2 linked regions of the Danio rerio genome follow. The protein of the gene in region 1 interacts with the protein of each later gene in a pairwise test. Links are inferred from orthologs where the notes say so. Each region holds a gene or a part of one and is shown on either strand. Other genes may lie near its edges.

Region 1 (6,949 bases):
GGTCCACAGCCTATGGCATCTTCAGTCAGTTTAATTCCCAAGAAAGTCACGTACTAACAAAAATCTATGGGGGAAAAAAAATGTAAATAAACCAACAACCAAACAGATATTTGTGGAAATTAAGCTCTTTTTTTCTTTCATTAATTCATTTTTAATGATCAATTAGTACAACAATACACACTGCTAACAATAAAGATTTTAGTATATATTTCTTACAATTGTACATCTGCAGGCTTTTAAGATAGCAACTGTTGAAAAAAATACAAATCACACTTGCAATTACAGACAAGTCAGTCAGATTTCTTCATTTATATACTTAAATATGTCCTGATTTTAAATTTGTTTACTTGTATTGTTTTAAATAAGTCCTGCAGCCTAGTATCATCAGTCAGTTTAAATCCTAAGAACGACATGTACTAACAAAAATCTATAAAAAAAAAGTTTATAAACCAACAACCAATCGGAAATTTCCGGAAAAGTCATTTTTTCATTATTTAATTTCAAATGATTAATTAGTGAAACAATACCCACTGCTGACAATAAGAAACCTCCAAATTAAACCTGCAATTGCAAGAAAGTCAGAATTCTTCATTTATATCTCACTATTGCAGTTTTCATTTTTATTTATTTATTTATTGTGATTTTTGAAATAGCACGCTCTCACAATCCTGACTCATTCACAACACCAAACTTAAATTCAGAATTCTAGGCATTTAGTATAATATAGTAGAACTTTCAGTTCACAAATATAAGTTCATAACATGCTAATGTGAGATTTAATTCACAAATCTCAGAGGAAAAGTCTGAATTGTAAAATATAAACTGTTTTATAGAAATAATATAAATTGTATAAAATAATATAATGTAAATTTCAATTGTTTTCCATGGCAGAAACAAGTTTCTTGATTTCCCAGCCTGCTGTAAGTACAGCAATATAGAGGCAGCAGCTTGATCATAATAGTGGATAATAAAAAGGTACTGCAATACATCACTTGAAAACCCCTGATGCAGGGGCTAGTAAAGTAAGGTAACGATCCAGTACTCATTTACGTATATAACATTTTTGTTCTAAAAGGACAAAACAAAAACTGACTCGTGTCTATTTGGACAGATTCCACCTGAATAGTCTGTTTATAGATGAATAGAATGAGAGATATAAGAAACAAAGGGATCAGGTTAGATTTCATTATCTATCATATATCAGCGTACGCAAGGGGCTTCCGTCAGCTCCACATCACATATCTGTACCATGTTTGAATCATCTTTAAATGAATTGCAGAAAAACTGCTGGTGCTCGCTTTCCCCCAACATATGTTCAGTTCATGTGGGTGTAAGGAACATCTATTATATCACATAATTGTTTTTGAACCAATAATAAAACTAACTGAATATATGTTTACCTCCCAGTAGAAACATTCAGTTATGACAAATGTACTGTGTGAGCTGTCATATAATTTGGTTATAATTTGATCTTTGCGCACAAGTAACATACAAAATTCCTTTTTTTCTTTTTAGATGACTAATTGTACAGTTACACAGGGAAATGATATAAAATAAAGCATGTGCTTAACATAATTAAAAACAGATCTTCCTAAAACATAAAAAACTAAATAATGTAGTTAGCGATTTATCTTTATGTTACTGCTTTGTACAAGTCTTGAGTAAAGTTATAAATAGATATTTTCCTCTGTATATCATGATGTGAAAATGTCATCATAGTATTTTTACATTCATCATCTGTGACTTCCCACTTAAAACAATAATTAAGCCACAAACACACACACACACACACAAACTCACACAGTTCTCTTATAAACGATTTACATTTTCCCCTGCACTGTGGTTCCGGCTGCTCCAGCGATGAGGTGTGCTTATGTGCGGTTTAGTGTCTGGAAGATTCTGGAGATTTGGAGCATGACGGGACCCGTCTCAGGATCATTCATCCACTGTGTGCTGTTCAGCGGATTCTCCAGCATGTCCTCAAATGCTGAAAAGCCCCAAAAGTATAGATACAGTTAGGCCCATAAATATTGGGACACAATTCTAGCATTTTTAGCTCTATTCACCAACACAATGGATTTGAAACTAAACTAAGATGTGCTTTAACTGCAGACTGTCAGCTTTAAATTGAGTGTATTTACATCCAAATCAGATGAACACTGTAAGAATTACAACAGTTTGCAGATGTGCCTCCCACTTGTTAAGGGTCCAACAGTAATTGGATAATTGGCTAGTCAGCTGTTTTATGGCCAGATGTGTGTTATTCTCTCTCTATCCCAATTACAATGAGTAGATAAAAGGTCCAGAGTTCATTTCAAATGTACTATTTGTATCTAGATTCTGTTACTGTCAACTCTCAAGCAAGCCATAATTAGGCTGAAAAAACTAAACGAACCCATCAATAAGACAGCAAAAACATCAGGCGTGGCCAAAACAACTGTTTGGAACATTCTTGAAAAAACAACTATGGTGGAAGACCAAAGAACTATTTCCCTGTGCCGAAAACACTTTCTACTTAACAGTTGGCCAGATCTAGAACACTCTCCAGGAGGTAAGTGTATGTGTGTCAGAGTCAACAATCAAGAAAAACAGGAAGGCCGGATTAGAGTTCAATCTGCAGTTAAAGCATACAAGTTCATTTAATTTCAAATCCATTTTGTTGGTGTATAGAACCAAAAATGTTAGAATTGTGTCAAGCTCTGGTGTTCCTAGCCCTATCTAGTGTTCTTCGTGCTTTCAAAATAGTAGTCCTGCTTTCAATGCATTGGCTAAACATAAGAGGAAAAAAAATCAGATGATTTAAAAAAAAGCTAAATATTAGCCTTGGAGACATATAGGTCAACGCCTATGAATACAGATGAACATTTTAAATATGTGCTGATTTACTGTCTCCTTTTGGTTCACTCAGAGATCATTCAGCTCCCAGCTTTCATCAACTATTAGCAGAATTTCTTCTAACTTAGTAGTCACTAACATTATTAAAATGCCCATACTAAACAATACACTTTTTCTCACAATCTTGTTTTAATTACTCTTTTCGCACTTGGGCAGCTAATGGACTTGTTGAGGTAAATGATTTATGTGAGGAGGGGGTATTCACATCTTTTTTTTTTTTAAATACAGTCTTCACAACAGTCATTTGTTTTGTTTCTTTCAGGTCAGACACTTTGTTAAGAAATTGTTTCCCTGAACACCATCTTGACTATTCCTTCAGTACTCACCAGAAACATCTAATTTCGGCTATTTATAATTTAATAAGTACACTAAACGCAGATCCTATAGTTTCTCTCAAAGAATCTTGAGAAAAATGACCTTGTGTTGGTATTGAGGAAGGTCAATGGGAAGATATTTTAAAAATGATCCATTCCTCCTCTATTTGTCTATTACAACATTATTCAAACTTGGTTAATATCAGTAAATAGATGAACAAAAATTTGCTAATGGATCATTATTCTAAAGTGTTACCAATCAGGTTTTAATAGTGTGTAAAATTTCATTTTTGGGTCCCTTTATGTTGTCTACTAATGCAGAGTTCAAAATGCACAATTTTAGCCCAGATTTTGACTCGCCGACAGGTTTTGAGAAATCGCCAACAAATGCCTAAAAATCAAAGGCAACTCTGTGTTCGTTCATGCGAGTAACTATCACACAGTGAGAACTATCAAAGACGTGATCTGAGAGAATCGCTGATGAGTCACTGACACCCGTGAGATATTTGGCATGCTAAATATCTGGAGCAGTCTGTGATTCAAAATCATGCTGTGTGGAATGTGTTCTGATTGAAAAAAACATCTTCAGCCAATGAGAGAGCAGCATCCACTAGTATAGGTATCTGCAGGCCAGCGGAAGGTTGGGGGAGAAATTATAAGTGCTTCATTTTAGTCTTTTTTGGACCCAAGAAATGAAGGAAAAACTAGTGTACATTTGTCAGGAGCACTTGTGTGTGTTAGACATGTCATCTTAGGAATACCACGACCGGCTCGACAAAGAAAAAAAGTTAAGGAGAAATTTCTAATTCCCTCCAAAACCCAGTTTAGTTTCTAGCTTACTAAAGTCTTCTTTCCCATTATGTAGTTAATAACAAAACGTTATCTGGGTATACCCTGCATTGTTTTCATGTTAATTTTTGCTTGTTTGGTTGTGAGACATTTTTTGCAGACTCAGACAAAGTTGTCGCCGATTTTTCCTATTGTAAAGTCATGCAGTGTGAAACCCCATCGCTGATCCATCTTGTAGTGTAAACACAGCAGCAACTAAATGCTGCCCCAAAGAGTCATGCAGTGTGAAAACACCTGTGAAACGACTACTTCGAAAATCCTCTAGTCTAAACTCAGCATAACCAAGAGGAGCAACAAGACAAAAACACAAAGTTAAGAAAAATGAAACTAAGATGTCACTGTCAGAACTGCGATTGGAAAAAAATGGGACATACTGACCAGCCATCACTAATATTTTTAGCACTCCAAAGATTAAGCCCTTTTTATGAGAGTGGCTAGAAAGAAAGTCACTTCCATGCCAGTCCAGACTATAACTGGAGATTGTGAGAAGCCGCGTGACAACAGCTGAATGGCTTTGAAAGTAACTGCCGTGGTTTGATGAAGTGAAAATTGAGCACTTTGGCCTGACAGCAAAGTGCTATGTTAAACACAAACCACAGAGAGAACAACACCCAAATAACGTCATCTTACAATCGAGCGTGATGTTGGAGCATAAAAGTCTGAGGTTACTTTTCAAAATTTGAAAAACTAGCTGTGATAAGTGGCCAAATGAACAGAATCAAATAAAGACTGAAAAACCTCCATGATACCAGCAAAAATACCTTTATCCAGCAGAAAACTACACAGCAGATAAAACTGCAACTATTATTTGACTATAAAATTCCTGTTCACAAATGTGTCTATGTAAACTGGCAAACCTTCTTTTCATTTATAAAAAAAAACAAAACAAACAAAAAACATACGTATTTAGAGAGAGAAGTCACCTAGAAGAGTCTTGGGGTTTGTGAGACCAAGCTGTACAACGGGGTTCTCCAGGATAGCCTGAAACAGTGGACTGTTGGTATCGATGCCTTTGTCCAGATCCTCAGGACTGGGCTTTCTGTCACCGAGCAGCCATTCGCACTGTGTGGGAAAATAGATTTAACATTAAAACAAGTCACACTTTAATAAGAATCATAACTAGTTAGAAATTTGAGGCATCTTAATTAGCAGAAGAAATGACACAATATACTTGATACAATTCTTTAAGTGTTTACATACAGCTGCATCCTGTTGATTATTATTGACGCGGAGAGCATCGATCACTTCCTTCTCATCGAAGCCCATCTCCATTAGTGCAATCACTGCCTGCTTACACACAAACGACACAACGCATCTCATTCAAAATGGCTTGGGCATATATTAGTGCTACAGCAATGTTTGAGTTTAAAACTCAACTGTTCTTCTTGTGTTTCTCATGACTCTCACATGACACTAACCCGTGAGTCTGGTCTGAACTCTCTTTTTCTTCTGATCCTTTTAAAGATCTCTGTCAGTTCATCCTGTTTGGCCTCGTCTATGCTGGCCTGGGAGATCAAACGAGCACGGGCTGCTAAAGCTGTGGCAGAGGCTCCTGGAGCAGGCGCTGCAGCGGCGGCTGCCCCTGGACTCTCCTGTCCTGGTAGAGGCGCATCAACCATGGGGTCATCAACATGCTCAATCAGCCATTCCATAGCCTGGGTCACAGACATGCTGCAAACAGAGTGCTTTGTTATTAGTGGCTTTTATTTAACCCAACGAGAGCTGAGATTTTTTACAGTTCATAACCCACAAAACCATCTTTTTTGTTCATTTATCTGTTGTTATCTAGATTGTGGTTCTCAACCTTTTTCACTTCGAGGCCCACCTTTTTCTCTGAAAAATTTTTGAAGACCCAAACTGATTGTCTAGAGCAGGGGTGACCAAACTCTGTCCTGGAGGGCCGGTGTCCTGCAGATTTTAGCTCAAACTTGCCTTGACACACCTGCAAGGATGTTTTTAGAGTAGAAAGCCTAGTAAGAGCTTGATAAGCTAGCCCAGGTGTGTCTGATTGGGGTTGGAACTAAACTTTGCAGCACACCGGCCCTCCAGGACCATGTTTGGACATGCCTGGTCTAGAGAAAATGCTTATTTTAAAGCTTTATTTATTAGCAAAACATTTATTTTGCCCTCTATTACTCCCTAGTTTTTCAACATTTTTTTATGTATATATGTATATATATAAAGTTATATATATATATATATATATATAAGAATATATATATATATATATATATATATATATATATATATATATATATATATATATATATATATATATATATAAAACTTTAAAAACACACAGACAGGTTCAAAGCTCCTGAATTCTTTCCTTCAGTTATTCTTTAAAGCTGCAGAGTATTTGGGCCTTTTCTTCATCTATTGATTTATATCCACTTAACCCCAACCCTAAATGTAAAATAAAGAAACAACCATCTAAATATGTTGAAAAAAATCGATCTGATGGTGGTTTAGTTTGTAGCTGGACATTATTAGAGTTCGCTGACAGGAAAGGTGAACGGCTGTTCATAAATGAAACACCACAGATTGTTGCTAGATCCTCCTGTACGGACTCACTTTAGTTATAAAACGCTCGCAAGATGTTAATTTGGACAACTATGAGGATGTTTTAAAGTGTTCACACAAAGAAAAAATACATAGTTTGTGAATCAGGAGACTTGTGTGACTCTGATACAGTATGAGTTGCAGACGTGAGGCAAGCGTGAGCTGCTTATTATAAAACAACATTACCTTTACATTTGCATAACTGTTTGCTTTATACAACTGAGAACATAGTCCCATTTGACGCGCAGCGGTTGGAAATTTAAGCCACAGTTTTTTCACAGTGAGGCTGTTTTTGCACAGTCCAAATTAGTCTGCTCAATCACAGAAAA
Region 2 (6,212 bases), on another chromosome or scaffold:
ATTATGAAAGAATCTTAAATATGAGGTGTAAACCAGGCCTTCAAGATGTACACTCCTGATCAAATTATTAAGACCAATAGACCAGTTTAACACAATAATAAGTGAAGTTTTGCAAACTAATTTCTAGAGGTGCATGTCATGGGATTGACTGCAGCTGGTCCCTATCGCTAATCATTAGCTAGCCAATCGGATCATTCCACATTCGTTTTGGAAGACACACACACTTTTTAAGCAGCACACACACTCACCCCACTTAGTTTGAACTTCTATCATGGTACTCCCCTTCACGTGACTGCCGTTCCTCTGACTCTGGTCTTTTAACAGTCCACTCCACTCGTCTGCACTCTATGGGTGACCGGGCTTTCTCATCCCTGGCTCTGAGTCTCTGGAACTCTCTCCCTTATAACATTAGACTAGCTGAATCTTTTAAATTGTTTAAATCATCCTTGAAAACTCACTACTTTACACTCGCCTATTCATGAGGAGTGCATTCCTGGTTTGTTTTATGTTTTAAAATATTTTAATGTTTTATCATTCTGAATGTTTTATCTTAAATAATGCAATTTTACTGTTATTCTAAACTGTTTTATATTTGTATGTTTTTGTGTAAAATGCTTTTGAAAATTATTATCATAAAATGTCTGTCAGTTCGAGACCATGAATGCCTTTCGGGAAGCAATCTACACCACATGGAATTAATGTTCCCAACTGCCTCCAGGAAACTGTTGAATAAAGCATGCCAAAATGAATGTTAAAGTGATAATGACATTGCCTGCTCTGTTTTTTTGTCATGTGCTTCAAGCTCTTCTTTTGGCATTACAACCTGTTGTGATCCACCAGAAACAAAATGTGAATACTTGTCATTTTCCACCTGGTCTTAAGACTTTGAACTAGAGTATACAGTAGGTATAGTTCACCCCAAAATGATCATATTTGTTGTTTACTCCTCTATTTGATCCAAAGCAGTTTGACATATATTTTTAAGAATAATCAGAAGATTTTTTTTTGAAGAAATTTGGAAACCTGTAACCATTATTGTCCATAGTTTTGTTTTTCCTGTTATGGAAGTCAGTTGTAACAGGTTTGCAGCTTTCTTCAAGATAGATTTAATGTTCAACAGAAGAAACTCAAAGTTTGGAACCACTTAAATATGCGTAAATTCAAAAGGCTGAGTGAAATATCCCTTTAATGGCCCATATGGATAATATGGTTCAGTACACTTTTATGGCTGTTTCCACTGTCAAAAGATACCTAAAAGCGAATCGTACCGTACCACTTTTTGGGCACCCTTTGAAAAGGGTACCTAACACGGCAAAATGGTACCAAAAAGCAGAGCAAGACGCGCAACTGAATGCTATTAGTTTATAGAGAAGCGTCACTCGTGCAGGATGAAAATAAAAGAACCTTCATATTTAAATTCACAGCCGAGACATTATATCATAATACTATTTGCATATAATAACAAGCCATGGTTGACCCGAGCTCAGACAAACCTTGTCGTTGTCTTGATAAACGGCCACAAAGCCACGAACAAAATCTGCAGTGTCCTGTTTTTGTTTTAAGAGGCCATCTAAAAGTGCGAGCGGTTTCACTTTCTCCAGAGAGCTTGCAAACACTCGCCGTGCATCTATATTTGAAATAACAAACTTCTTGAGCTGATGATAATAACGTGCGCGTGATTTTTGAAGTGCTTCTGACATCTGATTCTTTTGGAAATGGATAAACGCGAAAGTGAAGTGCGAAAAAACAAAGGAGAAGCCAAAAAAACAAATGATTCTTTCACCAACCTTAAACATGAACAAACTGCCATGTTTTTGAACTGTGGAAATATACATTTCTACAATCTAATTCCAAATGAACAATAATCTACGTATAACTGAAAAGTTATATTCTTTGGTTTTTAATTATATCATTTTATTGACATGCCAGCTAGGAGGGACATTTAACCTTTGCCTTGCTGACTACAGGCTAAGCCAAAGTGATGCAATTATCAGTTTCACAGCTTGGCTGTATCTATTGTCTTCTCTGTCTCCAGAACATCATTTGCACATTGTTGTAATGATGTACTTATATACTGATGAGATCAGACCTGGAGAAAGCATGGCACCCTGCAGACAACCAGACTTCATTTGCATGCTTTGTTTGACTGTCCCCACCATGACTAACCCCACCTACATGCTGTAAAATGTATAAAATGTATAATGTTTGCTGTGGAGTTTAGAGTTTGCTTTTGATGACGCCACAGCCACACTGAGTTCTTCTTATTAAAAAGGATTCTGCTTTGAAGACAACCGAAAGATTCTCCCTGGTTTTTTGGGCTCTTAGAAGTTTACAAAAGAACTCCATTAAGAACTCGGAATGACGGAATTACTTTCTAACAGAGGTTACATGTGCTGGTGAAGATTAAAGATACAGATGAGAGGTTTGCTCTAACTGTGGGCTATATGTTGCGTGTCGTTTTTAAACCCAAATAAGGATTAAACGTATGCTGTGTGTTGTTTTTCTGTAATTGGTAACATATTAAATACTGTAAGGGGCTTTATGTGTTCATATATGTTGCATTTATTTATTTATTTTATGTGATTACAGTAGGCTATTGCGCACTATTATTGATCTGCAGTTATAATCAAATCATGTTCATAGGAAAGTTAGTAATAAACATTTATACACAAGTATTTATGTGTATAAAGCATCTGTTTTGTGCAAAGTGCTTTTCATATGATGTAAACAACACACGTACAGCTTTACTTTGACATTTCCTTGAGCGAAAATGATGTCGACTGAAACTTTCTGTCATACAGCACACCCACCCAAAGGTTACCCTTTTAGGCAGTGGAAATGCAAGCCTAAAAGGTGGCCCGTACCAACTTGTACTGAACCAGTTAGTGGAAATGGGCAATAAGTTTGAGGTTTGAAGTTTTCTCAAACAAAAGCAATTGCCTTTAATAGTGACTGTCACAACATTGATTTCTAATGCTTATCATACCGATTCGGAATATGAGGTCATCTTCAATTGGGTTTTCTTTTCGTTTGCCGGTGCTGTACATGCTGGCAGGCCGTTTGATGGCCCGCTGCTTCACATGGCTGTTTCCTGGAGACTTGAGCCGTTTTTTGTCCACATCTGCAGTAAGAGAGATGTCTGTGGGTTTGTTGGCTCGTATGCTGAATGGGCTGCCCCTGATGTGCTGATCATAGAGCTTGAGGGTAAGCGTGAAGCGGCCCTCACATGGGACACTGTATACAAACTCATAAGTGCCGTTTTTATGATCCGTGACTTTGCCTTCACCCACGATGCTGCCATCAATAGCAGAAAGATCAGCTATGAGCAGAGCATTTCCAGTCCGACACAGCCCGCCGTCTCTGTCTTTAGTTGTTACTGTGACAGACGTCAGCTGTCCCACAATGCAGTGCCTCAGGCCTTCACCGGTGGCTACAGTTTCTGCTGCAACAGCATTGGTTGTTACAATGGCACCAAGGTTGTGGATGGATTTGCGAAGACCGTCAGTCTCCACCAGGAAGTCCAGTTGATTGTTCTCCTCTGGCCGCAGTGGGAGCTCCTGATTGGCCAGCTCATCCAGACGCTCGCTCATCTGCTTCTTGACCAATAGGACTTCAGCTTCAGAGCCGTGATTAAGAGCCTGTTCGGTGAAGCTGCAGCTGCTGCGTATGCCATCCTGCCCCTGCAGCAGCGACTCCAGCTGAGTTTGCAACACCTGCAAATCACATACAAGTCATATATCAGGCCTCTGTGAGTAAATGGTCACACTTTGCGATCCTTTTTCCTGCTAGTTTGATAAAATTTTGCGAGAGGTGGTGTTGGTGCCACTGCCGATTTACTGAACTGATAAGCAATTGCATTTGGTTACATTTGAGAAACAATGGACCTCTTTCACAAGACTGTCACGATGTGTTTAATGGTCATCAGCATCCTTAACCCTTAATTAGATTTTTTTTTTAAATGTATACACATTTATATGCATTTATGTATGTATTATCTTATCTTTGCGTAAAATTACATAAAAGCTTATAAACAAAAACAGTTATGTTTTTAATGCAGTGTCTACGGGCGGGACAGTGTATTTGACATTGTTCTCTCTTTTGGCTGCCTTATCAGTCTCACACAAATTTTTTTCTTTTCTGAATGTTTTGATATTATTTTCTTTGTAATATTTATTTTATTAGAGCAAACAGAATTGTAAACAAATATTTGTTGTACTCTCCCATTCACTGCGCTTTAAATTCACTCAACTGTGATGACATCTGCTGCTGAGAAACCCAGAAGTGTGAAAAGGGTCCATTATGTGAAAAGGTTAGGACACACCATTGAATAGTGGGACACACCATTCAATAGTGTTGCATGGCAGTACATAATAAAAAAAAATACGGTGCTTTGCAGGTCTCAATGTGAGTTTTTGACTCCTCTAAAGCATCAAATTACTATAATACGTTTATCTGAAAAACAATGCTTAAGTCAGTGATTCCACTTTTCTGCATGTATTTAGGACACGGTATACTGTAGGCCCGATAGTTATGCATGCTTGGCTCCTGTTTGTGTGGTCAACCTGGCAACCTACATGTGTGTGGAGTTGTCAGAGGAAGGGCTGGGTGAAAAAAACCCACTCCGGTGTTTTGAATTTGGACAGCAATACCCATGTCAACCACTATGTCAATTTTACATACTGTACCTTTTAAAATTTGGAAGATGATCAACATCACATAACATCTCACATTGTGTCGTTATTTATTTAGCAAAAAGAAATATGCAAAGATAGAAAAGCCATGTATGAGTAACTTAGGACATCTCATGGTTCAGATGCCTGTAGATCCACTTTTACTGTAGCAGTAAATAGCCAAAGAAATAGTAACAATACATACAATAAAGTAATAGGAACATTGACTGGACAATTTGTTCTTCTAAAACTTAACTTCCTGACAGGTCAGGGTGCATGTGTATTACAGGGATGTACAACGTACAGCATGTGCCAAAGTGTTGGATCTCCATACGATTAAAATTGAGCCAATAAAGTAACATGGAATGTTTTGACAATATTTTGATTCCTTTTCTGGATTATTTGTGTCTCTGACCATAACTGTTTATGGAAGATAAGAGAACTCTTGGGTTTTATCTAAAATATATGAATTTATGTTCTAAAGATACACAATGTTTTAAAAAGATTAGTATGAGATGACATGAGGGAAATTAATAACAAAATTATTTTTTTTGCGTAAACTAATCCTCAGATATATACTTTAATATTCATGTACTTTATATGTGTAATCCAATATAATAATGCATTTTTGTTAAGAAAGTTTAGTTGTGGATTTGTGGTAAATGTCTGTTGAATTTTGTTTTTCATTAACAAAGTTAATCTCAAATTTTTATTTATAGGAAACTAAACTTGCTATATTAATATTATACGTTCAGTTTTACCAAATAAGACATCAGCTAGATGCTCCATAACTGTACATGTGCAACAACTTGTGTTTGGAAGAGACGGATTTGTTGGCAGCACTATTACATGCAGTCTGGTTACACAACCCGAGTTCAAGTCCTGGCTCTAGGTAGCCAAATGCCCAACAAGCTACAAATAAACATTCCAGAATCCAACAGAGATTAAAAGGTTTGTTCACACTATAAATATTTAGACCTGCATACAAACCTGCAGCCACAGAGATGCATCATCACACACAGACAATGACACACATACCTCCATATAAATGGCATAACACAGTGGTCCAAATGTCTGAATCTGATTAGATAAAAAATTTCAAACTGTATCTAAGAGAAAATATTTCAGATTCTGCATTATCTCCTGGGCCCAGTTTTTCAAAAAATGTAATCTGGATCAAATTGGTCCAGATTTGCAATTCCCATGTTTTACCATCCATGATTAACTGATCTATTTTCCATAACAGTTTTTTAAAGGAACACTGGGTTGGATCACTGTGATCCAAATTTCAAATTTCAGGATCACCAAATCCTGTTTGCCAGAGCCTAAATGGAACCAATAGTGTAGCCTACCGGCTTAGCAAAGAACAGGTAGGAAACAGAAACACTGCAATCAACAAACATTTAACATGTTTTAGTTTGTTCTAATACATTAATACTTTGATATTGTTTTGTTGTATACCATATCTTGACATGCTTCATATAGGCTTCAAATATAAAAGAATTTATATATCATCAGTAACGAATAAGAATGTGATTATTT

What was found. The genes of interacting proteins can lie anywhere in the genome.
Region 2: the proteins of ubac1 (region 1) and trim2a interact in binary tests that used the Homo sapiens proteins (3 or more experiments, as listed by UniProt). The link is inferred for Danio rerio from reciprocal best matches to the Homo sapiens genes UBAC1 and TRIM2.

What each region holds. Positions count from the first base shown.
Region 1 is NC_133180.1:55,324,594-55,331,542, reverse strand, and holds the end of ubac1 (ubiquitin-associated domain-containing protein 1), read right to left. Parts: intron 5,730-6,949; coding exon 5,477-5,729; intron 5,349-5,476; coding exon of another isoform or gene 5,346-5,348; coding exon 5,259-5,345; intron 5,121-5,258; coding exon 4,982-5,120; intron 1,988-4,981; coding exon 1,872-1,987; 3' UTR 1,509-1,871; downstream 1-1,508.
Region 2 is NC_133176.1:26,948,108-26,954,319, forward strand, and holds part of trim2a (tripartite motif-containing protein 2), read right to left. Parts: intron 3,714-6,212; coding exon 2,987-3,713; intron 1-2,986. UniProt on the Homo sapiens protein: UBE2D1-dependent E3 ubiquitin-protein ligase that mediates the ubiquitination of NEFL and of phosphorylated BCL2L11. Plays a neuroprotective function. May play a role in neuronal rapid ischemic tolerance.